3 linked regions of the Caenorhabditis elegans genome follow. The protein of the gene in region 1 purifies or fractionates together with the protein of each later gene. This does not show direct contact. Each region holds a gene or a part of one and is shown in the gene's direction. Other genes may lie near its edges.

What was found. The genes of interacting proteins can lie anywhere in the genome.
Region 2: the proteins of nhl-2 (region 1) and hrde-1 purify together in Caenorhabditis elegans (affinity purification with western blotting, with the first as the bait; one study listed by BioGRID). This does not show direct contact.
Region 3: the proteins of nhl-2 (region 1) and drh-3 purify together in Caenorhabditis elegans (affinity purification with western blotting, with the first as the bait; one study listed by BioGRID). This does not show direct contact.

What each region holds. Positions count from the first base shown.
Region 1 is NC_003281.10:4,891,814-4,900,875, reverse strand, and holds nhl-2 (B box-type domain-containing protein), read left to right. Parts: upstream 1-1,790; 5' UTR 1,791-1,918; coding exon 1,919-2,040; intron 2,041-2,345; coding exon 2,346-2,691; intron 2,692-2,790; coding exon 2,791-3,327; intron 3,328-3,386; coding exon 3,387-3,828; intron 3,829-3,879; coding exon 3,880-4,430; intron 4,431-4,515; coding exon 4,516-5,278; intron 5,279-5,324; coding exon 5,325-5,497; intron 5,498-5,556; coding exon 5,557-5,721; 3' UTR 5,722-7,218; downstream 7,219-9,062. Other genes in the region: tag-340 (START domain-containing protein), read right to left, coding at 1-4, 51-118; F26F4.6 (TFIIS-type domain-containing protein), read left to right, coding at 7,483-7,582, 7,633-8,023, 8,478-8,555, 8,605-8,781, 8,837-8,972.
Region 2 is NC_003281.10:4,170,889-4,178,147, reverse strand, and holds hrde-1 (Argonaute protein hrde-1), read left to right. Parts: upstream 1-1,988; 5' UTR 1,989-1,994; coding exon 1,995-2,103; intron 2,104-2,154; coding exon 2,155-2,365; intron 2,366-2,410; coding exon 2,411-3,364; intron 3,365-3,413; coding exon 3,414-3,938; intron 3,939-3,985; coding exon 3,986-4,934; intron 4,935-4,979; coding exon 4,980-5,170; intron 5,171-5,219; coding exon 5,220-5,379; 3' UTR 5,380-5,811; downstream 5,812-7,259. Other genes in the region: utp-11 (putative U3 small nucleolar RNA-associated protein 11), read left to right, coding at 41-171, 276-482; C16C10.13 (Rab3 GTPase-activating protein catalytic subunit), read right to left, coding at 582-890, 935-1,204, 1,249-1,365; C16C10.4 (putative histone deacetylase complex subunit SAP18), read right to left, coding at 6,083-6,220, 6,321-6,501, 6,627-6,808; E3 ubiquitin ligase rnf-121, read left to right, coding at 7,209-7,259. UniProt on the Caenorhabditis elegans protein: Argonaute protein which is involved in the endogenous small interfering RNA (endo-siRNA) pathway and is required for RNA-mediated gene silencing (RNAi) in the germline.
Region 3 is NC_003279.8:7,818,851-7,827,778, forward strand, and holds drh-3 (Helicase ATP-binding domain-containing protein), read left to right. Parts: upstream 1-1,980; 5' UTR 1,981-1,992; coding exon 1,993-2,090; intron 2,091-2,149; coding exon 2,150-2,323; intron 2,324-2,576; coding exon 2,577-2,652; intron 2,653-2,699; coding exon 2,700-2,781; intron 2,782-2,826; coding exon 2,827-3,351; intron 3,352-3,538; coding exon 3,539-3,664; intron 3,665-3,710; coding exon 3,711-3,892; intron 3,893-3,973; coding exon 3,974-4,155; intron 4,156-4,352; coding exon 4,353-4,678; intron 4,679-5,114; coding exon 5,115-5,395; intron 5,396-5,438; coding exon 5,439-6,347; intron 6,348-6,786; coding exon 6,787-6,887; intron 6,888-6,943; coding exon 6,944-7,082; intron 7,083-7,129; coding exon 7,130-7,236; intron 7,237-7,338; coding exon 7,339-7,390; 3' UTR 7,391-7,528; downstream 7,529-8,928. Other genes in the region: D2005.4 (TPR_REGION domain-containing protein), read left to right, coding at 1-290, 350-355; D2005.7 (NAM-associated domain-containing protein), read left to right, coding at 729-918, 969-1,181, 1,323-1,387; glna-3 (Putative glutaminase 3), read right to left, coding at 7,641-8,003, 8,426-8,672.

The sequences.
Region 1 (9,062 bases):
AAATCTGTAAATATAAATTCAAAATTAAAAGTAATAAAATTTTTGCCAACCGTTTTCTGTCTTTGCTCACTCCGATTCTTTGAGATCCGGGGGAAATTAGTGGTTGACGTCCGCTCATGACCTTTTTTCGATGTTTTCCATTCTTTTTTAATCTGAAATATTGGGAATTTTAAAACTTAAGTAAGGGTAATCAAATGAAAATCACTTTTCAGTATCCTCTGGAGCTGAAAAAGTAAGGTAAGAAGTAGTTGGTGAGGCAATTTTGAATATTGATGCACGAATGAGACAACTGATATCAAGAAAGAGGTCAAACTGATAAGGCGTCAAAAAATAGAATCTCATCGAAAAAGGAAAACAATTTCTTTAAAACTTTACAGTACCTGTGAAATTTTAAAGGAGCATAGCTTTTTCCATTGAAAAGGTCCCGCAACGAAATTGGTACTGTGAATTTCAGAACTCCTCTTGGACAAATTCTTTTTGAATAAATCCTTGCTTTTTATTAAAAAATTGTTCCCTTTTGAGTATTTATTTCTGTTGAACTGGTAAAATATATTTAAATAAATATTAATTTAGTCAAATTGCAACTCTTTATTAGTGGAAGCGCCTTTCAAAAACCTGCTCGTATCGATTTCGTTGGCTAAAATGCGAAAAAAGTAAACAAAATTCCTATGAAGCCTAATTAGCGTCTGATAAAGTTTTTAACTTGATACGTTACTATTGTAAAAAGATTTTAAATTCTTTTTTATGTAAATTCGGAAAAAAATTTCCAATAGAGTGTTTGTCATCTGAATGATCATGCGAATGGTCATCCACCAACCGCTTCCGAAAAAATCGTCGAATTTCCCTGCCGCACTTTTGCAGTTTTCCTCACGCCCCTCACTCCGCCCACTTGGCATTCAGCCAACAAATACCCTCGAGGTGGTGAAAGTGCAGCTGGCACGATGCCAAGTAGGCGGTTTCTCTGCGTAGCGGCCGCGAAAGTGTGTGTCATGCGTGTGAGACGATACAGAAAGCGGTGTCCCAGTCTATGACTACTCTCTTCATTCTGCATACTCTCTCGCCACTGTCTGCACGCGTCTCGTGCAAAAGTGCGCTAGTAATTGCTCTTTTTCGTCGAAATGACGTCATTTTTTCGAATTTTGCAAATTGATTTTTCAGTAACAGGTAGAATTTGATTTCAGCTTTCTGCTTTTCTAATAAATTTCAATGTTTTATCGTGAAATTCTGAAGAAAATGGCATCCAAAGTGCATTATTTTGTTTTAAAACTTTTGAATTTTTTTAAATTCTTCATTTTTTATTTAAAAATTAAAAATTTTCTGTTAAAATCAACAATTTTCGTTTACAACACTTGCATTTAAACATTCCCTGCGCTCGCTTTTTGTTTAGTATTGCATTGCAGAATATTTAGAACATTGAATGCCATAAGTACTTTGTTTTTTCTTGATTATCTCTTCTTCCGTTTCATTTTTTCTGTATCTTATTCGTCTGCGCGTGATTCTTTTTTTGTAGAACCTAACAATTTTCTGGTCAGGTGGAATAAGTCTTATGACATTGAAAGAAACGCTGAAACTGAACGTTGTGTTGTTCAAACCAACAAATATTTTGTTTTTTTTTGTATTTAGGTGTTCGTTTTTGTTGTAATTCTTATTAGAGTTCGAATAGTTCACTGATTTTCCGAAACTTTAGACGCCTTCCTTGATTTTTTTATTATTCTTTTGAATGTATTTTCTGTGAAACTCGAATTTCTTACTACTCTTAAACCCAATTAACTTCTTATAATCATTTTTCATTTCAGTTTACACTCCAAGAGTGTCCCTGATACTTTAATATTCTCTTATTCTGTATTTGTGTGCTTGTTAATAACAAAAAGCACCCGGATAAGAAGATTGAAAAGTGTCGAACGTTCATTCCGTGAAGATGAAAAAAGCGGCAGATCGGCCGACTTCGGCGGTGAATGGTAGGCATGAATCGCCCGCTACGTCCACAAATAACACACAAAATAGTGGAACGCCCAGTTTGAATGGACAAGATCCACTGAGGTAAGCTATCATGAATTACATAAGTTAAAAAAAAACATTAAAATTCTTAATTTCAACTAAAACCTCTAATTTTGTTTTTTCCGTATCGATTATTTATTGTTTTTTAAATCTTTTAATTGGCAAAATCAAATTTTCAGCCAAAATAAAACAATTTTTCTGAAATTTCTTGAACTGCAACTACAAATTTTGAATTTTTTTTTTGATGAATTTGGTTATGAAAGTCGGTCTTTTTTAGGCCATTGTTAGTATATTACATCTTTAAACACTAATTTTTCCTGATAAATAAATAATCCAAATAGTTTCAGATCAACGTCATCATCACCTCTATTTGGCACAGAACCACTACCAGAAGATGATCATGCTTCATGTCCATACTGTCAACAAGATTTCCGTAAACCGCGAGTTCTTGATTGTCTTCATTCAATGTGCGAAGATTGTATTATTGCTCAACTTGATGGACACCTTCAAGCAAAGTCAGCTGCCATTGAAGAGAAGAAACGAGCGACTGCAGCAATGTTGGATTGTGAATTGGAAACACCGAAAGTTAAAGAACGACCAACACCTCCTGGCGTAATCCGATGTCCAATTTGTTCACAAGAATCGCATGTTGGAAATGATGTTCGATATGTTCATGCCATGCTCCTGGATTTTGTAAGTTGAATTTTTTTCTGAAACATAGTATTTTGGTCTTTTGATCTACCAAAAACATTACTAAACTTGGATTCAATGTTTTCAATATAATATTTCCAGGTTCGTCTTGCCGAAATGAAGGAAGTTGAAGTTGAGAAAATGGTTGCCCACCATCGCAAACCATGTACTGCCTGCAAATCCGAACAAGAAGCCATCGCATTCTGTGATCAATGCTCTTCAGATTTATGCGAAAACTGCACAACTGCTCATACTGTCATGAACCTTTTCCAAGGTCACACTGTAACCACATTTGCTGATCTTCGGCAGCCTGGAGCCCATCCAGAACTTCGTCAAGTCATGTGCTCCACTCATAATCAGCATATGAGATATTTGTGTGCAGCATGTGAAACAGCGGCTTGTAAGCAATGCCTGGAAGTTGATCATTTGAATCATAAAATCATTGATATCAACGAGCTTGTGATCAATGCTATAAGGGAAGATGTGACAAGTACTGTGGATCGTGTCGAAAAGAAATATAACAATTCTGTGGCTGATATGAATAGCCTTCCAGACAAGTCTCAACAGTTGAATGAACAGTATGAGATTGCGAAGTATCGAGTTGATAAACATTATGAGGAGTTACGCAATTCTATTGAGGTAGGGCATCAAAATTTAAATGTTTTGGAGTTAAAGGGAAAAATATATTAAAATTTCAGGAGGCCTATCAAAAAAGCGTGAACGATCTCGAAGAGGCGCGAATCCGTCAAGAGTCTAACATTGATGAAATGTACCGTAAATCACAAGTTAACGAAGCACGAGTACATGATGCCATCAACTTCACTCGCCGACTTCTTACCAAAGGAAATGGTCTCGAGTTGGTTGTTTCGAGGAAAAAAGTTATTCAACAATTTGGAAACTTGTCTCATGCTATTCCATCTCATGGACACCAAGTGGAACTTGAGTTTTATACTCCATCGAAAAAACAAATTGATCATTTTGTGCATCAACTAACTGGAACAGTTATCGGACGAGTGATTCAGCCAACTGTTAAAGACGTTGGAAATGCAACTGCAGCATCAACTGATAGAAGTGAAAGAGGAGGTTCTCAACCAGGAGGTGGAAGATCTAGCTCAGCAGCTAATCCATCACAACAAGATGGTAAATTGATTATTTTCTCTATAAATTGATTATTAATATTGATTCTTTCAGAATGGGGACGCCCTGTTTATTCACAAAATCCACAACTCGGTGCAATTGGTGGAGAACGTAAGAAGAACACACAGAATGGAACCAATGGTACTCGTGGAGACAGCAATGCATTCGGCGGATGGCCACCAAGCAGTCATCCACCAGAATCGACAACTCCCCCACCTGTTACTGGACCTCAAACTATGATAACTGGAGCTCCGACTCAGACAGCTGCTCCAATTGTTTCTCAACAGCAACTTTCGAATCTTCCTAATGCAGCTGCGATGGCTGCTGCGGCTGCTGGTATGCGTCCTGATCTGGTTGCCTTGGCTGCAAATCACATGGATTTGGCAGCACTTACGAATGGATCAACAAATGGATCACAAACTCCATTGCCAGAGTCTATTTTCCCAGCGATGTGGAATGCTCGTCAAGGGCTTCCAGCAGTGGCTACACCAACAACTACTGGTCTGTCAACTAATGCTTCAGCCGCCTATATGCAGCAGAAGTTAGCAGCGGCTCAACTACAAGCACTTGCCAGCCATCGATTGAATCCACAAATAATGTCAATGGTAAGCTCTATTTTTGAAACATTCCTAAATACTATTCATTATTCATATTATGCAGTCACAACACATGCTTAATATTTATTTTCAGAACAACCTGCGCACCAATCAAACAATTCAAGAGTTTTTGGCGATGAATGCAATGGGAAATTTGAGTTTGAATCCTCAACTCACATCAGCTGCAGCTGCAGCACTAGCAGCTACTGCTGCCGCAAATTCGGCTGTAACCACTACTGCTTCGGATGTCGGTCAATCGCAGAATTCAGCGAACGCACAACGAGTCAGCGATCTGAAGGTGCACAGTGTGTTCGGAACATCTCAACAAGGAAGCACTATTCGAGAGTTGCATTGTCCATCTGGATTCTGTTTGTCTGACACTGATGATATTCTGATTGCTGATACCAATAATCATCGAGTTGTCGTATGTGGTCCACCTCATCCATGGAAGATTGGACGTCCAGGAACGGATGACGGACAATTGTGCTTCCCAAGAAAAGTGATTGCACTGAGAGGAGAAGCTGTCCGTTATGTGGTACTCGATAAAGGCGGTGACGGGAAAACTCGTGCTCAGATCTTCGAAGCTCGTGGTGAATTCGTCAAACGTCTCAACATGATGGCTTTGGTTCCACGTGGCGGAATAGAAGTATCCGCTGCTGCCGCAACCCCGAATGGACAACTTTTACTTGTTGATACTGCTGGATTTGTGTATTCTATTGATGTAGATGCACCACGAGTCACATTCTGGTTCGATGCTTCCACTCAACTCGGAGAAGCTTCTGATGTTGCCATGTTTGATAACCTGATTTATATAACGGATTTCAAGCATCATTGTGTCCAAGTTTACACTTCTGAAGGTACCGTAATAATTTTCTGGATTAAAAAAAAGTGTAATATTTTCAGGAAAATTCATCCGAAAAATGGGAGAACCATCACAGACCCCATATCCAATTGGAATAGACGTCTCGAAGGCAGGAGAGGTTCTTGTAGCTGATACTCATGGAAATCATCTGCACGTTGTTGTATTCTCACCCGAAGGACAACATATTCATTCATTTACTCACAACGAGTTTAGAGTAAGTATCTTGAAAATTATTTAGAAAGTGCAGTTATATTGAACAATTTGTATTTTCAGCTTTCTCGGTGCGTTGGTCTCCGAATCGCTAAAAGTGGTCACATTGTGACGTTGTGTAAGCATAACCACACTCTATTCGTCTTCAAACCATTGATTCTTCCAAATGGACTTCCTGTTCCAACTCCAGTTCCTCATGCAACTTCGCTCATCAGCAAGTTTCAGTGAGGAGGTTACCCCAATTCCTATATAAGCTTTTTTTCTTGTACATTTCTTTTTTCTCATTTCTAGCCGTCTTCTTTTTTTTCCTTCTCCCTTTGCTTATCCGCCTTTTTGTTGTCCCCGGTGTTGTTCCATTATTTTAAGTTCCTAAGTTTCTTTCCCCTCCCCATATCTCTTAATTCTTTCGTTTTGAGACCTCATTTGCCACCCCTCCTCTCCCTCAAGCTTTTTAATACAAAAACGTCTCTTTTTTATTTTGCTCAAATTCTTTCCAAAGATTTTAAGTTTTTTCTTCTTATTTCCCATTTATCCAGTTTATACCATTTTATTCGTTAAAATGTAAATACCGTTAGCGTTTTTTTTTTCAAATTTACCCCTGTCAACTTTTCAACCCGCCCCCGCCTTTCCGTTTCAAAAATGTTCTTGTTTTTTCTTTCTTATAAGCCTCATCTTAGGACTGCATCGTTTTGTATCTATTTTAAGTGAAATTTGAATTTCAGCTCGCCCAAAAAAAATCAAAAAATTCCAAAAAAAATATAGGGCTCCCTACACACTCTTACTCACTTCCGTTCATTTTTCTCGTATATTGTTATCCTTGTTATAATTTCAGCGTTTTCAAACGGGAGATCAACTTTTAAAAAACTCTGAAACTATAAAGTTTATATTTTGAACTACAACAAAACCTCGTCATCGTTGTCCCAAATTCTATTCTAAAAAGCGTCCCTGTGCAGCAACCATTTCTTTTCTTTCTCCAAATATTCTCGCATTCAGCCAAATTTTATCAGATTTTTATACTATTTTACGAAAATGCTCAATTTCCCCCAAATTCCCGGCTTTTTTTTCTATGTTTCCTCATTTCTAGCGATTCTAGAGGTCAGTCATATATACTCTATACGTTGAGTTAAACGCTCTTCATTGAAATTCTAGTGCATTTTTCAATTGAGATCGCTTAACTTTTTCCTATACATACAGTGTAATTCTCCCCCCTAGTCCCGTCGCTTTCAAATGTTTCTTATATATCCCAGTAGGTACCACAAAAAGCTCTTCTAAAAGCACATTTCGTTACTCAATTTCTTCATATTCCCATTTTTGAAATCGTTTTTATTCGTTTTGTACATTTCTTTTTATTCTCATCTATCGAATCGAACCTCATCTTTAATCCTGTTTCGTGATGATTATAGACACAATTATCTACTCTCTTCCATCATTTTTTATAAAAGCCCCGTACCTTTCCCACTGAAATTTCAAATTTGCCGCTCAAAACCATCATTTTCTTCTTTTTTGTGAAATTTTTATTGGAGCGAATTCTTATTCTCACTTTTTTGTGCTAACCACTTTGATTTTTCCCCCATTTTTATTGAGTCCATTTCCGTGGCGAATCCAAAGCGCTTTCTAGTACACATTCTCAATGTTTTCTACAAGGCTATTTCTCAGAATTTTATTATAATTACCATCTTTTTCAAAATTTTAACTTTGATGAAAATAAAGTGTTAATCAAAAAAAAAAGTATTTTTCGTGTTTTTCGTGTTTGCTGTGCGTTAGATGTGCGCGTGAATATATCGAAGATGTGAATCAATGAAGAGAAAAGATACGCAGAGATATTGAACAATGATCAATAATTATTATGGTCGAATGACGAGAAAACGATAAAGGTACATAGATATCAAGACTTTTATAATTAAATCATGCTTCGCTGCTTTTTCAAATTTGATTTTCTCGCTTTTTTGTCTAGATAAAACTGAAATTTACAGCTGGATTTAACTGAAAATGTCTACTCAAAATGAAGAATCTGAAGAATCAGCTCGACGACCTCAATCAATTAGTCATTTGGCACGAGTGGAAGTAGAAGAACCAGCAAGGAAAATGAGTGAGATTTTAAATTTAAAATAAAAATTAACATGAATTACGTATTTTCAGGATTAATGTTCGGTGAGAAACAAGTGGTCTTCATCCGATCGGATGGTTTGAGAAGCCGAGTTGTTCGGGAGAATATGAAGAAGAAGTTGAGTCAAGAAATTGAGAAAAAGGAAGATTTGGACACAGATTCACCAAATCTCACAAAAGTGATTGATGATGTGGCAAGTGGAGCAACAGGATCATCTTCTCTTCCATCTAGTTCCACTGAATCATATTCAACTTCATCATCATCATCTTCTTCGTCTTCTGACTTGAATTCTGCATATTCTTCGACATCTGAGCCTCAAGCAACAAGTTCTTCTGCTCCAGAGTCTTCTACCAACTCCTCTGCATCTCCAGAAATCAAAGGAAACAGGAATTACCATCCACCGAGGGAATTTCATGGTGCATCGTGAGTTTCGTTAAAAATTAATGGATTTTAAACTCCCTCATTTCGGAAAATGAAACAAAAGCTGTGAAAACCCCATCTTTCATTCTCTTTTTTTCATGAAAGTTATTTTTCGAAAAAAAACATTTCATTAATTAATATTAAATTTAAAAAATGGCACTCCGATTCAAATTTACTGTTATACACAACTCGCATACTACATGTACAAAATTTTTACAATTTATTTTTTTTGGCTGAAAAAGCTACATTTCCCATCATTTTCGGTGCCTTTCTCTGTCGTTGGCATCTAAATAGCCAATTTATTGTTGTTGTTCTTTATGGTTTCAACAGTACTGTTAACAGTTAACTGAACATATAAAATTAGTAAAATTTGTTTAAGCCGAAACGCTTTCGCGGTTATTTTCAAATTTTTGAAGTTTATAAGCAGCATAAACCTGAATAAAAATGCACTTTTCAGAACCATGGTAAGCCACAAACGACGATGGACTTATCAGACAGCATGTGACATCAATGCAGCTGAACAGAGCGGTGATAGGTAATATTCTCTTCTTCAGCTTTTGCCAAAAACCTCAGAAATGTTACAGTGAAATGTATTACATCGCCCATCCACTCCTACCAATGCCACGTGGCAGCGGACGCAATGAAGTAAGCACGGCGACTCGAATGAATTATGCGGGTCAACAAATTGACAATCGAAAATTTCGAGGACAGTCAAAAGCTGTGAATCAGTTTGCGAATACTGAGAGTGTTACATGTGAAAAGTTGGTTTTCTTTCTGTTTTGGAAGCTAAAAGATATAAATATTCATTTTTCACAGATGCGGAATGCGTTATTTCTTTGAATCAATACAAATGCAGGAACGTATCTCATATTTGTTACCACCCAACGAGGAAGATCTTCCAATAGCACTTTTTGAGTGTCCTGTGTGCAAAATAACTACAAAAGTGAAATAATTTTTTCAAAGTTTCCATCACCACATCTCGATAAATCACACTGAGAAACGGAATCCTAATAGATCGAATTAATCAAGCGCCAATTATGTC
Region 2 (7,259 bases), 720 kb from region 1:
TTTTTAAAAAGAAAATCTCAAAAATATAAGAATTTTTCAGCCAAAAGTTTCGATCCACGCGTCTACTTTGACACAACCACTTCGATGCTCTCTCGACAATTCAATCGATTGAAAAATGAAGATTTTCAAAATAAAACTATTATTGGAGCTGGTACGAAAGAACAAGTCAGAGTAAGTACCCCTTAAAGATCTAAAACAAATGAAAAGAACAAGTCAGAGTAAGTACCCCTTAAATATCTAAAACAAATGAAAAATCTTAATAAAAATTATTCCAGAAAGCCGATCGTGTACGTCGTACTCGATACAACGAGCTCATCAAACGCGTGGAACGTGCCAAGGAGCTTCAAGTGGTCGTGGACAAGCTGGAATTGAAGAAACAATTGGCAGCTGGAAGCAAATCAGAATTGAAGCCTCAAAAGGTCAAAAAGGCGAAAGCTATGCGAGCAGCCGTCTACAAATGGACCTATGAACGAAAGAAGTAGTTAATTTCTTTTTTTTTAATCCCATTTTATTCTGAATCTTCTTTTTTGTTAATTTTTGCTGTTGAGTTTACATTTTATGCGTTATTGAAATTGTTGACTTTATTGAAACATTGAATTTAAAGAGATCTCTGTCGTTGTCACTGGAAACGGGACCATCGTCTCTCTCGTCAAATCAATCGTCTTTAAAACAAGCGGAGTCAGTGAAGAGGTCTGAGTGAAGATGAGCACGGCACACATGTTGGAATCGCAGCAACAATCTTTTTGCTGATACAATATCTTGTGTTGCACTAGCATCGATCGCAGTTCGCATTTTGGCATCACTGACACAGGTTGTTGACACTTTTGAACATCTGGGAATGGATGAGACATGATGAAGACGGAATCGAATTGACTGAATTTTTCAGGGTCCTAAACAGATAACTGGATTTTCAGAATTTTGTTGAAAAGGATACCGTATCCTTGACACATCCACTGTATATTCTTCCTGGCACCAGTGCCACCACATCAGTCATATTCATAGAATGACATGGATAATTCTCTGGATCATTTAGAAATTTTACTGCATTTGATGATCGAGAAAATATTGATCCAGTATATGGAAGACTTGTCGTGTTCTGTTCCCTATACACTGCTAACAAACCACACAGAAAACGAGGAAATAAATCTGGAAGATCTAGAAACGAGTGGTGTTCTAGACAAGTCTTGACCAGTTCTGATAGGCTCTGAAACTCTTTTCTAGACTTGAAAAATGACTTATTAAGCTCACAATTTTATCTTCAAGTTCTCGAATTGTCCAATCGGGTTCATATTTCTTTTTATCTTCTAGATAATTTAGAAACTTAATTTCCGTCGCATTCGTCTTCACTTCAGCTAACGGATTCATCAAAATATGAGCAATTGATTCATTAAGGAATGGCTGGAGCAGCCTGTTTGGAATTATCGGCTTTTCGAGCAACGCCTTTTCCTTCAGAATTTTAGGCATATGTTTGAGATGAATTATGTCGCATTTTATTGAATTTGCCAGAAAAGAGACGAAAAAGCAGAAAACTTGAAAAACCAGCATCGTTTTGATTGTAGAAATGAATTAAATAATTAATATTTATTGAAGCATAACAAATTAATTTTTTAAAAATATTGTTTTCTATTATTTTATTTGAAATGTTCAGAATAGTCGTTAAGTTTTTGAAAACTAATAAAATTCGATTTCTAGACGTGAAATTTTTCGAAGAGATCACAATGCAAGCGCGCTCTATTGTTACAACGCATGTGGCGCCACGATTTGAACTTTTGTACCGCCACGGATGTGTTTTCTCGAATTTTCTGGCCTAAAATTTATTTATTTTCATTTCATTTCTCTCCTTGCGTTTTTTCTCATTTTACTTGAAAATCTCAATCAGGACGGTAAAGCTTTTGTTTCATTTACTTTTTCTTAGTAAATTTCACTGTTTTATCTCAATTACATCTGAAATTCGCATCGTTTTTTCGTTTCATCGTTTCTTATTTCAGTCAAACATGGCCGACTTGCTCGACAAAATTATGGGAAGTTCGTCTTCCAACAGGATTCCCAAACGAGACAACCGAATGAATCAGGACAAGGACGAACCGACGTCAAAGAGAAGTGGTTCGTTTAGAATCAACATTATGCCTAGGAGTTCAAAATTGTCTTTTTCAGCACCAATGTTCTCTACTCCGAAGTCAACAACACCAATTGGACGGGACTCTTTCGCAACGATGGACACGATGAATGTTCAGATGAACATGTTTCCAGTGGACATCAAGGATATGCCCCACAAGATCCAACGCTTTCAAGTTGACGTCATCGTCTGTTCCAGCAACGGAAAACAGATCAATGCCAACCTTGGAGTTTTGGCGGCCAAGGGAGAGTAAGTATTTAATTTGTATAACCGCTCAAAATCAGTACTTTCCAGTGTCAATTCCCATAACCGTCGCTTGGCACAATACTACATCATGAGAACAGTACATGACAAGCTTCTGGTGAAGTTCAGTGGAAAGAGTCACCACTTCCTTGCTTACGACTGCGCTGCGACTCTCTATCTTCCGGAGGGAGTCTACACTGGTGACGATCAAGAAGAAGTCACGTTGACGATCGATGACTTCCCGAAGGAAGAATGGAAATTCGTGTCGAAGTTGTCTCGCAGAAAGGACGATTCTTACCTTGTTGTTCTCAAACCTGCCGGATTTGTGTACACCCAAGGAGAAGTTGCCCAGGAGGAGGCTAATCGTATGGAGTTGACTCGTATTATCGAAATCGTCACTTCACAAAAGCTCAACAATGAGGATTACTTACAATTTGGTAATGCCACATTCCCACGTCTTTCTCCGCCACACTCGGAACCTGATGCTATTTCGGAGATCCGCTCAGGTTTTGCGAAAGTATCTCGTCTATCGCAAAACGGAGGTGGCAAAGCTTTCATGACGGTTGATACGAAGATTTCTCCATTTTACAAGGATACATCAGTTATCAAGTTTTCAAGCAACAAGTTATCCGAAATGAAAGGTGGAGGCGGTGGAAGAGGCGGATACGGAAGAAGTGACTCGCGAGACTCTCGTGGTGGATACCGTGGCGGCCGTTCCGACTCGAGAGACTTTCGTGGTGTCTATGGAAACCGAGGTGGCAACGACAGGTACCGAGATGAAAGCAGAGGACGTCGCGACATGTACGATTCCCGTCGAGACAGTGGTTCTTCAAATGGAGCGGACTACTCTCCGAGTGATGCTGCTGAGTTGGAACACGCTTTTGGCGAAAGAGGAAACACGAAGCGATGCATTGAAGAAGCACTCAAAGGATTGGACGTGGAATGCACTCACTTGAAGGGTAACCTTATTCGCGTATCCTCGATTGCCGAGAACAATGCTGAGAAGTAAGTTATTCGATAGTTATCATCAGCGTGATAACAATTTGTTTTGTAGCACTTCGTTCATGATGAAGGACGACAAGGGAGAACGCGAGGTCACCGTGGCGGAATATTTCCTGTTGCAGTACAACATCAAGCTGAAATATCCGAGACTTCCTCTCGTCGTCTCAAAAAGATTCAAACATGAATCTTTCTTCCCAATGGAGTTGCTTCGAATTGCTCCAGGCCAGCGGATCAAGGTCAACAAGATGAGCCCGACAGTACAATCGGCGATGACAGGAAGAAATGCGTCTATGCCACAGCATCATGTGAAGTTGGTTCAAGATATTCTCCGCGACAACTTGAAGCTTGAACAAAATAAGTACATGGATGCTTTCGGAATCAAACTGATGTCGACTGAGCCAATCCAAATGACTGCGAAGCTCCTCCCACCAGCTCAAATCAAGTTCAAGGGCCAGACTTACATGCCTGACATGAGCCGTCCAGCGTTCCGCACACAGGACAAGTTTGTCGAACCAGCACGGATCAGAAAAATTGGTATTGTTGTCTTTGACAACTGTATCCAAATGAGACAGGCCGAGTAAGTCGAACGTTGTTTTCTTCTGCTTTATAATATTCTATTTTCAGAGATTTCTGCGACAAGCTGTCCAATTTCTGTCGTGACAATGGAATCACGGTCGAAAAGGACTCGCGAGATTGGTCCATCCGTGAATTGAACTCCAGTGATTCCGTTGCTATCCAAAATCTGATGAAGAAATGGCTCGATGATAGAGTGGACATTCTTGTTGGAATAGCAAGGGAGAAGAAGCCGGATGTTCACGACATACTCAAATACTTTGAGGAATCGATTGGCCTGCAAACAATCCAATTGTGTCAACAGACTGTCGATAAAATGATGGGAGGTCAAGGTGGACGCCAAACGATTGACAACGTCATGAGAAAGTTCAACCTCAAGTGTGGTGGAACCAACTTCTTCGTCGAGATCCCGAATGCTGTGCGTGGAAAAGCAGTGTGCTCAAACAATGAAACATTGAGAAAGAAACTTCTCGAACATGTACAATTCATCGGATTCGAGATTTCTCATGGCGCATCACGCACTTTGTTCGATCGCAGTAGATCACAAATGGATGGTGAGCCATCAGTTGTTGGAGTCTCGTATTCCCTGACCAACTCGACGCAGCTCGGAGGCTTCACATACCTTCAAACCCAAAAGGAGTACAAACTTCAAAAACTTGATGAATTCTTCCCAAAGTGTGTCAGATCGTACAAGGAGCATTCGAAGACACTCCCAACAAGAATCGTCATCTATCGTGTTGGTGCTGGAGAAGGAAACTTCAATCGTGTTAAGGAAGAAGTCGAAGAGATGCGACGAACATTTGACAAGATTCAGCCCGGATACCGTCCACATCTCGTGGTGATCATCGCACAAAGAGCTTCACATGCTCGCGTTTTTCCATCATGTATCAGTGGCAACAGAGCGACGGATCAGAACATCCCATCTGGAACATGTGTCGAGAATGTCCTGACATCCTACGGATACGACGAGTTCATTTTGTCTTCACAGACGCCGCTTATTGTAAGTTGTTCATTAGTTAATTTATTAAATGAAAGTTTCTTTTAGGGTACCGTTCGTCCGTGCAAGTACACGATCCTTGTCAATGATGCCAAATGGTCTAAAAACGAGCTCATGCACTTGACGTACTTCCGCGCATTCGGTCATCAAGTGTCCTACCAGCCACCATCGGTTCCAGATGTTCTTTATGCGGCAGAAAATCTGGCTAAACGAGGACGCAACAATTACAAAATTCATCAGTAATAGTTTATTTTCCTAAAAATCTTTATCAAAAACAAATGTTTCCAGGCGTTACGTGAATTTGCAAGCAGTTGAGAACCGCATCATCAAAGACCATTCGGAACTCATCAACGAAGACATGCGAGAAGAACTGGCGGCAGCCATTGTTGATGAGATGTCCGTTGCAATGAACGGAATGACCATTCCGAAGCGAAACTTCTGGGCGTAATCCCGAGATTCTCTCTTTTATTGTCACGTATTCACCCCCTTTACATATTACCAACATTTTTTATCCACTACCCTATACCTACTCTCTATACAAGTACTTAAATTCCCATGCTTTTGTTTTTCTGAACATTCTTTATTACATTTTTCCCCATAATTGTATCGTATTCCCCTTTATGTTTTTATAATTTCAACTAAGAATCCTTTTGTAATTTAATCTAGAGTAGAGTACATTGACACATAGTTTGAATAGTAGATACTCCTGTTTTACCTGCCTTTTTTTCTGTGCGAATTTCCTCCAACTTTCTTATTAGGAGTTTTCGAAGGCGAAAGAAACTTCCAATTAGAACGTTTTTGGAAATTTCGATTTTCAATAATCTTACTTGCTCTACCCCCCGTCCATTATCATTTATTAAGCAATAAATTATTCGAGAAGAAATTTTAGTTTTCGCTGAAAGCAGTTTGATCGCGATCATTTTTCCGATTTTTGCATAATCACAAAACAAAACTTTTTTAAAATTAAATAGCTTGCAATTTTGACCAGTAAATGTGAAAGTAAACTTTGTTGTAAATTGTTAAGTATGTTGAACAATTGTAAAGGAAAACATGATTTACGCAGAATATTACATTGCACGTTATAAAAAAAAGAATCGACACATTAATAAATACAGAAGAGTATCATTGAATTTTAACACACAGTTAGGCGTCTAGCGAATCGGACTACGTTGGCGTTGACGATGATCGAAACGGTCTCCCTGCTCCCGGTTATTGAAACGACGTCCTTGACTTGGCAAGGAAATCGCGACGTCGACGAAATCACCGACTTCGAATTTGCATTGTTGTAGCTGAAAAACAAAGTTCAATCAAAACGAATTTAATATTGGAGATATTATTTCCGAATTCAAATAAAATTCTAATGGTTCCGTGGTGTCAAAAATCACATACAGTTTTGTTGTCATCAATGCCACGCTCTCCATTCGTCGTGTTTCCCACATCGCGTAGAATGTATCTTGGCGAGCCGCGGTCTGCCTGCACAATAGCGAAATCGAATGTGGTGCCCTTTCTTCTAGCGTCCGGATTCACTTCTTTGATTAGACTGGTCAATTCACGCAGAGAACAGTCCATCCTGAAAATAAAAAAAATACTTCAGGTTAACCAAACTTACAAGTTTGAATGTATTATTGAAAATATTAGACAAAAGTTCTATAATTTCGGCCAAATAGTACTAATTTTTCTATTTCTACCGCGTACCAAGTATGCATTTGAAGTTCGCTGGGTGGAACAGATCCTCCATTTCTACTATTGTACTCGCTCATCGGATTATGACGATTATTAGCAACGAAGACGCGAAGAAGCATCGGACATACTTTCTCACGATCTAATGGTTTATCGTGACCAACTGTCACCTGAGACACGAGTTGACCGTTGCTCATTTTTCTGAAAAAAAAAGATAAATTTGCTCTAAAAAGGGATAATATAAAATATATTTGTTTGGTTATACAGAAAAAAGAGAAAAAAGAAGCAAAACGCCAAAATTTGCATTCGAATGTTTGTGGGCGGAGCGTTCTTTGCAACCCTGGCACACAAGATTTGCAGATATGCCGCGCGCAGATGACATTCTCCTATTTTATTTCGATTTTCACCGCAAATCTTTCTCCGACATTTCCTTGTCGCAAAGTTAACCAACTCAACTATTTTTATCAATTATTGAATTTAAAGTGTTTTTTTCGTTCAATTTTTAAAATTGGTCACTTTCCACGCGGGAGTCCGCTTTACCTTCTCGAAAAATCAATAACGTTTTCCAAAATAATTTCTATTTTTTCAGGCCATAGAATGGGCCAACATGGGGCAATTAGGCTGCAGAATGAAGTTCAGGAAGGAATG
Region 3 (8,928 bases), on another chromosome or scaffold:
CGAAAGATCATATGGATTCAGAAACTGCTGGTAATTGTTCCGATTCTGTGATCAACGATGAGCCGGTGGAGGCTGAAGACCCCGACAATGTGAAAGTTGAACGGAAAGAAGAGGACGAGTCAATTGACGGAGTATCATGCGATAACGAGAAAATCCCACTGAAACCCTTAGCACAATGTGGCAAGAACTGTTTGTACGGCTTCTACCCGGACGATAAGTGGGCTCTTTTGAATGAGCCAGTAATCAATGAAATTTATCGGCTACGCGAAAAACACGGCTACTCGAACAAGGTAATTTATTTTTTTAGAAATGCCGTTAAATAATTCCAATAACTGAGTTTATTTTCCAGATGTAATCTTCGTGCAATACTTGTAACATATCACAAATGCATTCATCATCGTGATGAGTTCAACAGTTTTATTCAAAAATTTTGAAAATGCTCAAGTGACGAACTTTTTTTCTTTTTTTTTTTGTTAAGATTATTTCATTTCCCTTTAAAATTTTCTCTATAGAGCTATAGTATCGTTGTTCGTGTTTTCTAATAAACGCTTTAAAGTTTTGTTCTATAGGTTTTTATTGTTATCCAATATTGGTTTTAACCAGAAATATGCACTACATGTTATGACACTTTTCATATTAGTATTACTTTTTATTGTTTAACACGTTAACTTTACCGAGGTTTTGCAGCCCTACCCGTGTCCTATTTTATGCTGATATTCATCTTCCAGATGGGCAACAAAAAAAATAAATCAAGTGGGTCCCGAAAGAATCATTCTCAGCATTATTCTCAGCCAACAATGACCGTAGAGGAGTGCTTGAAGGAGTACGAGAACACAGGAAATTTCGCCAAGTTCTACCCGAATTACATTTTCCAACGGTTGCCAAAAGAGTTCCTCCAAAAATACTTAGCCTCTAAAAGTTCGTTTTACAAGAAAAGTTGACAAGTTTAACAACCTTCGCAATTTCAGAAAATAAAAATATTTCTAAAAATCCATCACTAAGTTGTTCAAACTCTACATTGGACAATATGAAAGAGACGTCGAAAAGTATCTATGTGGACGTGGATCCAGATGATCCTCTCTCCGATGAAGCATTCACTGCTCAACATCCTGTGGAAGAATGGTTTCGACTTCCTCTCGAATGGCGCATTGAGATCGAAAGGCAGCGTTTTGTGAAAAAAGGTATTTTATTCATGGCTAGAAAATTAATCCTACAAAAAACCGCTTAAAACTCGATTTTTGAGTAAAGAAAGAATTTAACAATTTTTCATATGGATAATTTATTAAATATCGAAAAAAAGCATTTCTCTTATTTTCTTTCAGAACGCGCCGACCGTGCTGCTGAAGCTGCCAGGAACTCCGCTGAACTTCTAAAGCCAGACGCTTAAAAGTGCATCAACGATTCGTTTTAACGTTGTAAAATGTTATTTTCGATGTTTTCTTTTCATCCAGTTATTCGTATTAATTTGCCATTCATCAGCTGAAATTCATCCCAACAACCTGCCGAAAGAATTTTATTTTCTGTTCTATCTTTCAAATTTCCTTTTCTTTTCTTCATTTTCTGTTGGCAGCTGCTCGTATTTCCATCACCGGTTCCCGTGAATTTGCAGTTTTAATGAAAGTTTTATTCTTGTTTTAAATATTATGATTTTATTTTCTCACAAGGTTGAAGAGCCAAAACATTTATTTATGTTGTAGAATTTAAATACTAATTTTATTGATTCCGCCGTTGCTCATCGTTAAATATTGAATACTGAAACCAAAACTTCCCTTCCTGACACTACTTGCCCTTCTTTAACACTAATAATGGTTTTCTGTTCATTCATGTATTTCCCTCTTAACTTTTTATCATTGGCAAGAGGAAGAGAAAATCATTAATGTGAAAACCTCTGCCACACTTGTTTATATTTTGTGCGCCAGTTTGAACAACATGTCTTTTTGTCGTTTTGTCGGCAAAATTTAATTTAATAATTTCCTACAGATATTTTCGATAATGCAACCAACTGCAATACGTTTAGAAGATTACGACAAATCGAAGCTTCGCCTTCCGTTTGAGTCTCCATATTTTCCAGCGTATTTTCGTCTTCTCAAGTAAGAAAATTATACATTTCCCCCCTTGCACTCGATCAAATAATTAAATATTATTTTAGATGGAAATTCCTTGATGTATGCGTGGAGAGTACACGAAACAACGATATCGGATATTTCAAACTATTTGAATCGCTGTTCCCGCCAGGAAAATTGGAAGAAATTGCCAGAATGATCATTGACGAGCCAACTCCAGTTTCTCATGACCCGGACATGATTAAAATCAGAAATGCCGAGTAAGACGACAGAGAAATCATGTATTAGAAAAACGTTCCAACGAAAACAATTTCTTCGGTGTTATCTATATCTGTGACGGCAAGGATGTCGAAACGGAGTTTTGAAAACATAAAATTGTTTTAATGACTTAAATTTTTATAAAAAGTTTAAATATCGTGAGTTTTCGAGTCACAGAAGCTTAAAAGGTCAAAAAAAAGTATTATGGTGTCTGGAATTTTCGTGCCATATTTTTTTTAAATACCAATTTTTCAGTCTCGACGTTAAAATCAGAAAACAGGCAGAAACATACGTTACATTGCGTCACGCACATCAGCAGAAAGTTCAAAGGGTAAAAACACTTTTGAAAAACATTTAATAAAATAATTTTTATTTCAGAGAAGATTCTCGGAATGTTTTTTGAACACTGTTTTGTTCGATGAGAAGGGACTCAGAATTGCTGACGAAGTGATGTTTAACTGTAAGTAATCGTGAAATTTCAAACGTTTTGAACTGTAAAATTCAGACGATAAAGAACTTTATGGATACTCACACTGGGAAGATCTTCCTGATGGCTGGTTAACTGCTGAGACTTTCAAAAATAAATTCTACGATGAAGAGGAAGTTACCAATAATCCATTTGGATATCAGAAGCTTGATAGAGTGGCTGGAGCTGCACGTGGAATGATTATTATGAAGCATCTGAAATCGAATCCACGTTGTGTTAGTGAAACTACAATTCTCGCTTTTGAAGTATTTAACAAAGGTAATCATCAACTATCAACTGATTTGGTCGAAGATTTGCTAACCGAAGGACCAGCGTTCGAGCTGAAAATCGAGAATGGAGAAGAGAAAAAATATGCTGTGAAGAAATGGAGTCTTCATAAGACTCTCACCATGTTTCTCGCAATCATCGGATTCAAATCGAATGACAAAAAAGAGAAAAATGAACACGAAGAGTGGTATTACGGATTTATTGATGCAATGAAGAATGATCCAGCTAATCGAGCGGCTCTCTACTTTTTGGATAAGAACTGGCCAGAAGAGCTTGGTAAGTTTTTTTTTGTTTGGAAATTAAATAGCGGCAAACATTTTGTACTTCAGATTTCAAAATACTGAAATTATTTTAATACAATTTTAAATAATGCCTAACTTTTTATTATTCGGCCATCTCATGCTATTTGATGTATTTTACGAATTTCGATTTACAATCTAGGCTTAACTAAATCAATTTTCAGAAGAACGAGAGAAAGAACGTGACCGTATCCGCCTTACCCTACTGAAAAGTCAGCGGACTAACGAGGAAGCTGTCGGCGAGGATGTTTGCACGACAATACGTCCACAACCGAAAGACAGCGGCTACAGTAAGATTATATTTCCAACATTTAGTGCAAATTTTCCTTTTTCCAGATCCAGATGCGGTGGTTACTGAACTTGTATTGCGTACTTATCAAGAAGAACTTGTCCAACCGGCTCTCGAAGGAAAGAATTGTGTTATTGTTGCTCCGACTGGTTCTGGTAAAACAGAAGTGGCAATTTATGCGGCTCTCAAACATATTGAAGAACGAACATCCCAAGGAAAGCCTTCCAGAGTATGTTTTTTTTTTAATTTTCTCGTCAAGTTCTAATATTATTTCCCCTTGATATAGAAGCAATAAAATTTTATTTTCCAGGTTGTGCTCCTTGTGCCGAAAATCCCGCTTGTCGGTCAACAAAAAGACAGATTCCTGAAGTATTGTAACGGAATGTACGAAGTTAATGGTTTTCATGGATCCGAGAGCAGTGTCAGTGGAACAGGACGTCGTGATGAAGTAATTGCTACTCATGTATCAGTTATGACTCCTCAAATTCTGATGTGAGTTAATGGAATCAGGTTCATTAAATTCTGAATCGAAAATTTCTGATATAACTCATTAATTTTTTATTTTACTTTTTTTTTTCAAAAAAAATTATAAATTATAAAAAGAGTGCAATTTTAATCAAGATATATAAAATGTTTAATTTTTTCGGATCGAGCTCTGGTTTTTATAATACCCGAACTAATTATTTCAGCAACATGCTTCAATCGGTACGTCAAAATGAGCGTTTGTATGTGAGTGATTTCTCAATGATGATCTTCGATGAAGTACATAAAGCTGCAAAAAATCATCCATATGTGTTGATTAATCAAATGGTTCAAGAATGGAAGTATGAAAAACCACAAATCATTGGTCTGACAGCTTCATTGAGTGTCAAAGTTGATGGACAAAAAGACGAGAATCAGATGCTTAATGATATTTATAATATGCTCGCATTGATCAACGCTCCACATTTGAGTACAATCACTCGCCAATCGAGCATAGATGAGCTCAATGAGCATGTTGGAAAACCAGATGATTGTAAGTTTGTTCTCAAGTTGGAAATTTAGTTTTTTTTTTCTTAAAAACCATAAATAAATTTTAAAATACAAATAAGATAAATTTCTAGGTGTATCAAATTATAAAAATATTTATTTTCAAGTTTACACAGTTCAAAAAAATTTGAAAATTGTAAATTGTTCTTGTAAAATGAAAAATGGTTTCTAAATGAAGTGTTGTAAACAGGAATTGAAAAAAAAAACCTTCGGAAGCTGAAAACCCACTTTAGAATCAAAACCACGGTATTGAAATTTCCTTTGTTTTCCCTTATTTCTCATGGTATTGTTTAACTTCAAGCTAATCCGGCAATTTCAAAGTAAATTCCTCATTTACTCTATTCCAAAAATAACCAATTACTTGTTTTCTCTTCGGAATATGAAATTTCATGAGAGAATTATTTCAAAAAAATTCTTCTCAGCTGTCGAACTATGCTTGCCTGCCAAAGAAAATATCCTTCGAGATTACATCGAACGATACCTTAACCACGCCCATGGCAAATTTCTCGAAGAATTAGCAAGCATGTCTAAATCAACTGGCCGCAACAACACTATCCCACCGAATATGATTAACACGTTTAAAAAGAATCAACCGAAGAATTATGAGTACTACGATTCATTACTTCAAGGTATTATTCAAGAGTTGAACAAATTGAATGTTCCTGAGAAATGGAATTCTCAAACTTGGGCGAAATACATGAAGGTTTGATTCATTTTCAAAGATTCTTGTAAATGAAATGATTTAGGTATATCTCGAAGCTCGCGGAATCGTTGATCTGATGCCTGCGATGGTTGCATTCAAATACATGGAAAAAGCTATTGGGAAATTGAATGAAAGTCATTCAGAGACAGTCGAATACAGCACCTTCATCAAAGACCATGATACTTTGAAACAAACAATTCAATCCGTTGAACCAGAAATTGTTCTACGTCTCAAGAATACACTCACCAATCAGTTCCACGTGGCTCCTGAATCTCGAGTTATTATTTTCGTAACACAAAGAAGCACCGCTCAACGTGTCAGTGATTTCTTGAACGAATCTAAAGTTTTAGATCAATTTGGTAATTATGGTGAACAAATGGTTGGATATGTTCTCGGAACAAACAAACAGGGCGCTGTACAGCAGACTTCACAAGAACAACAATTGACACTTGATAAATTCAACAATGGAAGACTTAAAGTAATTGTGGCAACGTCAGTTGTTGAAGAAGGTCTCGATGTTACTGCATGTAATCTTATTATCAAGTACAACTGTTCATCAGGATCAGCCATTCAACTTGTTCAACAAAGAGGTCGTGCACGTGCCAAAAACTCTCGTTCTGTGCTTTTATCAGTGAAGAGTAGTATCAATGAAACCGAGACTAACGCGTTAATCTCTGAAAAGTATATGAGACTTTGTGTGAAGAAGATCACAGAGAATGGCGAGAAACAATTGGCTGCAGAAGTGAAACGAGTCGCTGAACTAAATGCGGCTGAAAGGAAACGAAATCTGGAAGAGCAACTCAATTTGAGATTACGACATGAGAATAAGATTTATAAATTGATGTGCAGCAATTGTTCAAAAGAGTTCTGCAAGAGTATTTATATCAAAAAAGTGTTCTCGAATTACATGGTGTTCGATCCAAGTGTATGGAGATTTTTGCATGTTGAATCGGTACGTTTGATGAATGCTCAAAAACCGGAGCCGGCTTGTCGAAAATATAATTTTAATGAATTTTGTAAGATTATACTCGTAGACCAGGGCTGTAAAACCATTTTCCCAAAAAACCGAAACCTAAAATTTCTCAAAAAAAAAGACAATTAAAAAAATTTCTGTCACTAAAAAATCGTTTTAAAGTAAAAAAATCGCTTTATTCATCTGAAATTAACTTATTCAGGTTGAAACATTTATAAAGTGCTTAAAAATTACCTGGAAGTGTCGAATTGCCGATTATCAAATTGCTGAATTTCCGAACTTTGCTTTCCGACAATTGACTTTCAGGCTATTTTTGTGCAATTTCCAGATGTTTCAAGTAAATGTTTTTTTCAGCTAAGCCGACTTCTGTTTATCATAGAAACGCAATTTGTGATTGTGAAAAATTGAATTTTTTCAGAAGCGAAAGGTGAGTAAGTACTTGAGTGAGGACAATCAACCACTCAGTGATATCAAATGCTTCCATTGCAAGTTGGATGTTGGAAGAGCTTACAAAATAAGGTAATTGAAATTTAATTTATTTAAAAGTCGTTTCTTATAAAACAACATTTCTACAGAGGAACCTATTTGCCGCAACTCAGTGTCAAGGCGTTGACATTTGTTCAAGAATCAGACTATTCCTCGATGACAAAAGCAAAATGGTCGGATGTGGAACAGGATCTGTTTTATATTTCAGAAGCAATCGAGGATGACTTTGTAAGATTTTGGTCACTTGATTATTTAAAAATTGTACGAATTTACAGAGAATCATGTTGAATGCGCTCTCCGATACTGAAGAAAATATCGAAAAGAAGATTGTTCTTGATTTGGACTCACGACAACACAATAAGCAACTCGAGATGAAGAGATTGTAAGTGTGCTCTGGATTGTGATTCCTTTTCTGTTTAACACTTTCGAAGCTCAAAAAATACGGATAAACTCTCTATTATCATAATAATGCTTTCATTTTCAGCCATATTCAACAAGAACCACCAACGAAGGGAGTTGCACCAGAAGCTCAATGATCATCTCAAGGATTTCCAACTTGTACGAGAATTCAATTTTTCTTAATCTTTTTTGTTATTTTAATATCATTCATCGTGTTCTATTTACCGAGCAATTTTCATTCGATCTCTTGAATAATATAAAGCTCTATTTAGTTTTATTTTTTTAATTGATCTTTCAATTTTTCTTCCAACAATTTGACTGTAAATTAACAAATGACAAAAAATGGAATGATTTATTAATTTAAATCAATTTCTAGAACATCTATTCCTAATCATCTTGTCCTTTAAGATTGTAAACCGTAATTGCCTCTTCTAGCAGCTTAACACAAGCAGTATGATTAAAATGTTTAGCATCATCCAATGGAGTTCTATCATATCTATCACATGGATTCGGATCCTCTTGCCATTTACTCAATACGTATTCCAATGTGACAACGTCTCCTTCAGCAGCAGCCACGTGTAAAACTGTTCGATCATCATAATCTTTGCAATGAATATCATGTCCCATCAAAAGGAATCGTTTAATTGCAGCAATATCACCCAATTTTGTAGCATACATGAAACGATTCTGACCGTCATGATCATCTTTCAATTGACGACGAGGATCGATTTTCTTATTATCCGAGTAGATCTGAATTGGGATTATTATGGTTTAAGTAGAAAATGCTAATTTTTAACCAAATATATTATTCGGGATGCAGAGAAAAGTTCGTTTGGTAATCTACGTGGAAAGGCGATCCACGGACAATTGAAAACATTCCGCCCCCGAGCAATGGGTCTCGTTAGGAATTTGGCGGAATAAAAAAATAAAAATTCTACAACAAATTAAAAAATTTGACAAAATCGGCAAAACTAAATAAATGTTGCATACGGTTTTGCCGCCAAATACCTAACGAGACCCATGGTTCGGGGGCGGAGCATTTTCATTTTGCCATGGAGCGCGTTTCCAGGTCGATTTCTAAAGGAGATTCTCTCTGCGCCCCCACCATAAGATATTTCGAAAGAAAACTCAAATAAATTAACTTTAGAATTTTCTATTTTGAGATAACTTACCAGACTATCATAATTATGGAAGTTATACTTTTGTACGAGCTGTTCTGCAAACTTGACACCTCGAACCGTGTTTCCAAGTTTATCAAGTCGTGGACTGTACAAGGCAATACCCATCACATTCGGAATCACAATAATCATATCTCCAGATACTCCTGATTTGGCTGGAAGACCTACGTGGAAAGCGAACTGCCCCGACCAATCGTACATTCCACAAGAGTACATCAATGAGAGAGTATCACGGCAAGCACTGAAGAACATGATAGTTTAATGAAACAAAAAAGTAGATCTTCCAGCAATAAACTAAAGTTTCAATACTTGTAAATTTATCAATAAGTTAAAGTAGAAACTAGATCTTTCAAGCAGGCACAAAATCGCCTGCTTACCTACAAGGCAGGCCTAATCTGCCACGGCTGTGCCTAGAAGGGAAGATGGTCTCAAACGCAAAAAATGCAGACCTCATGTCTACCGTGTACCTACAGGCATTTGTACCTTCCTTAAACCTG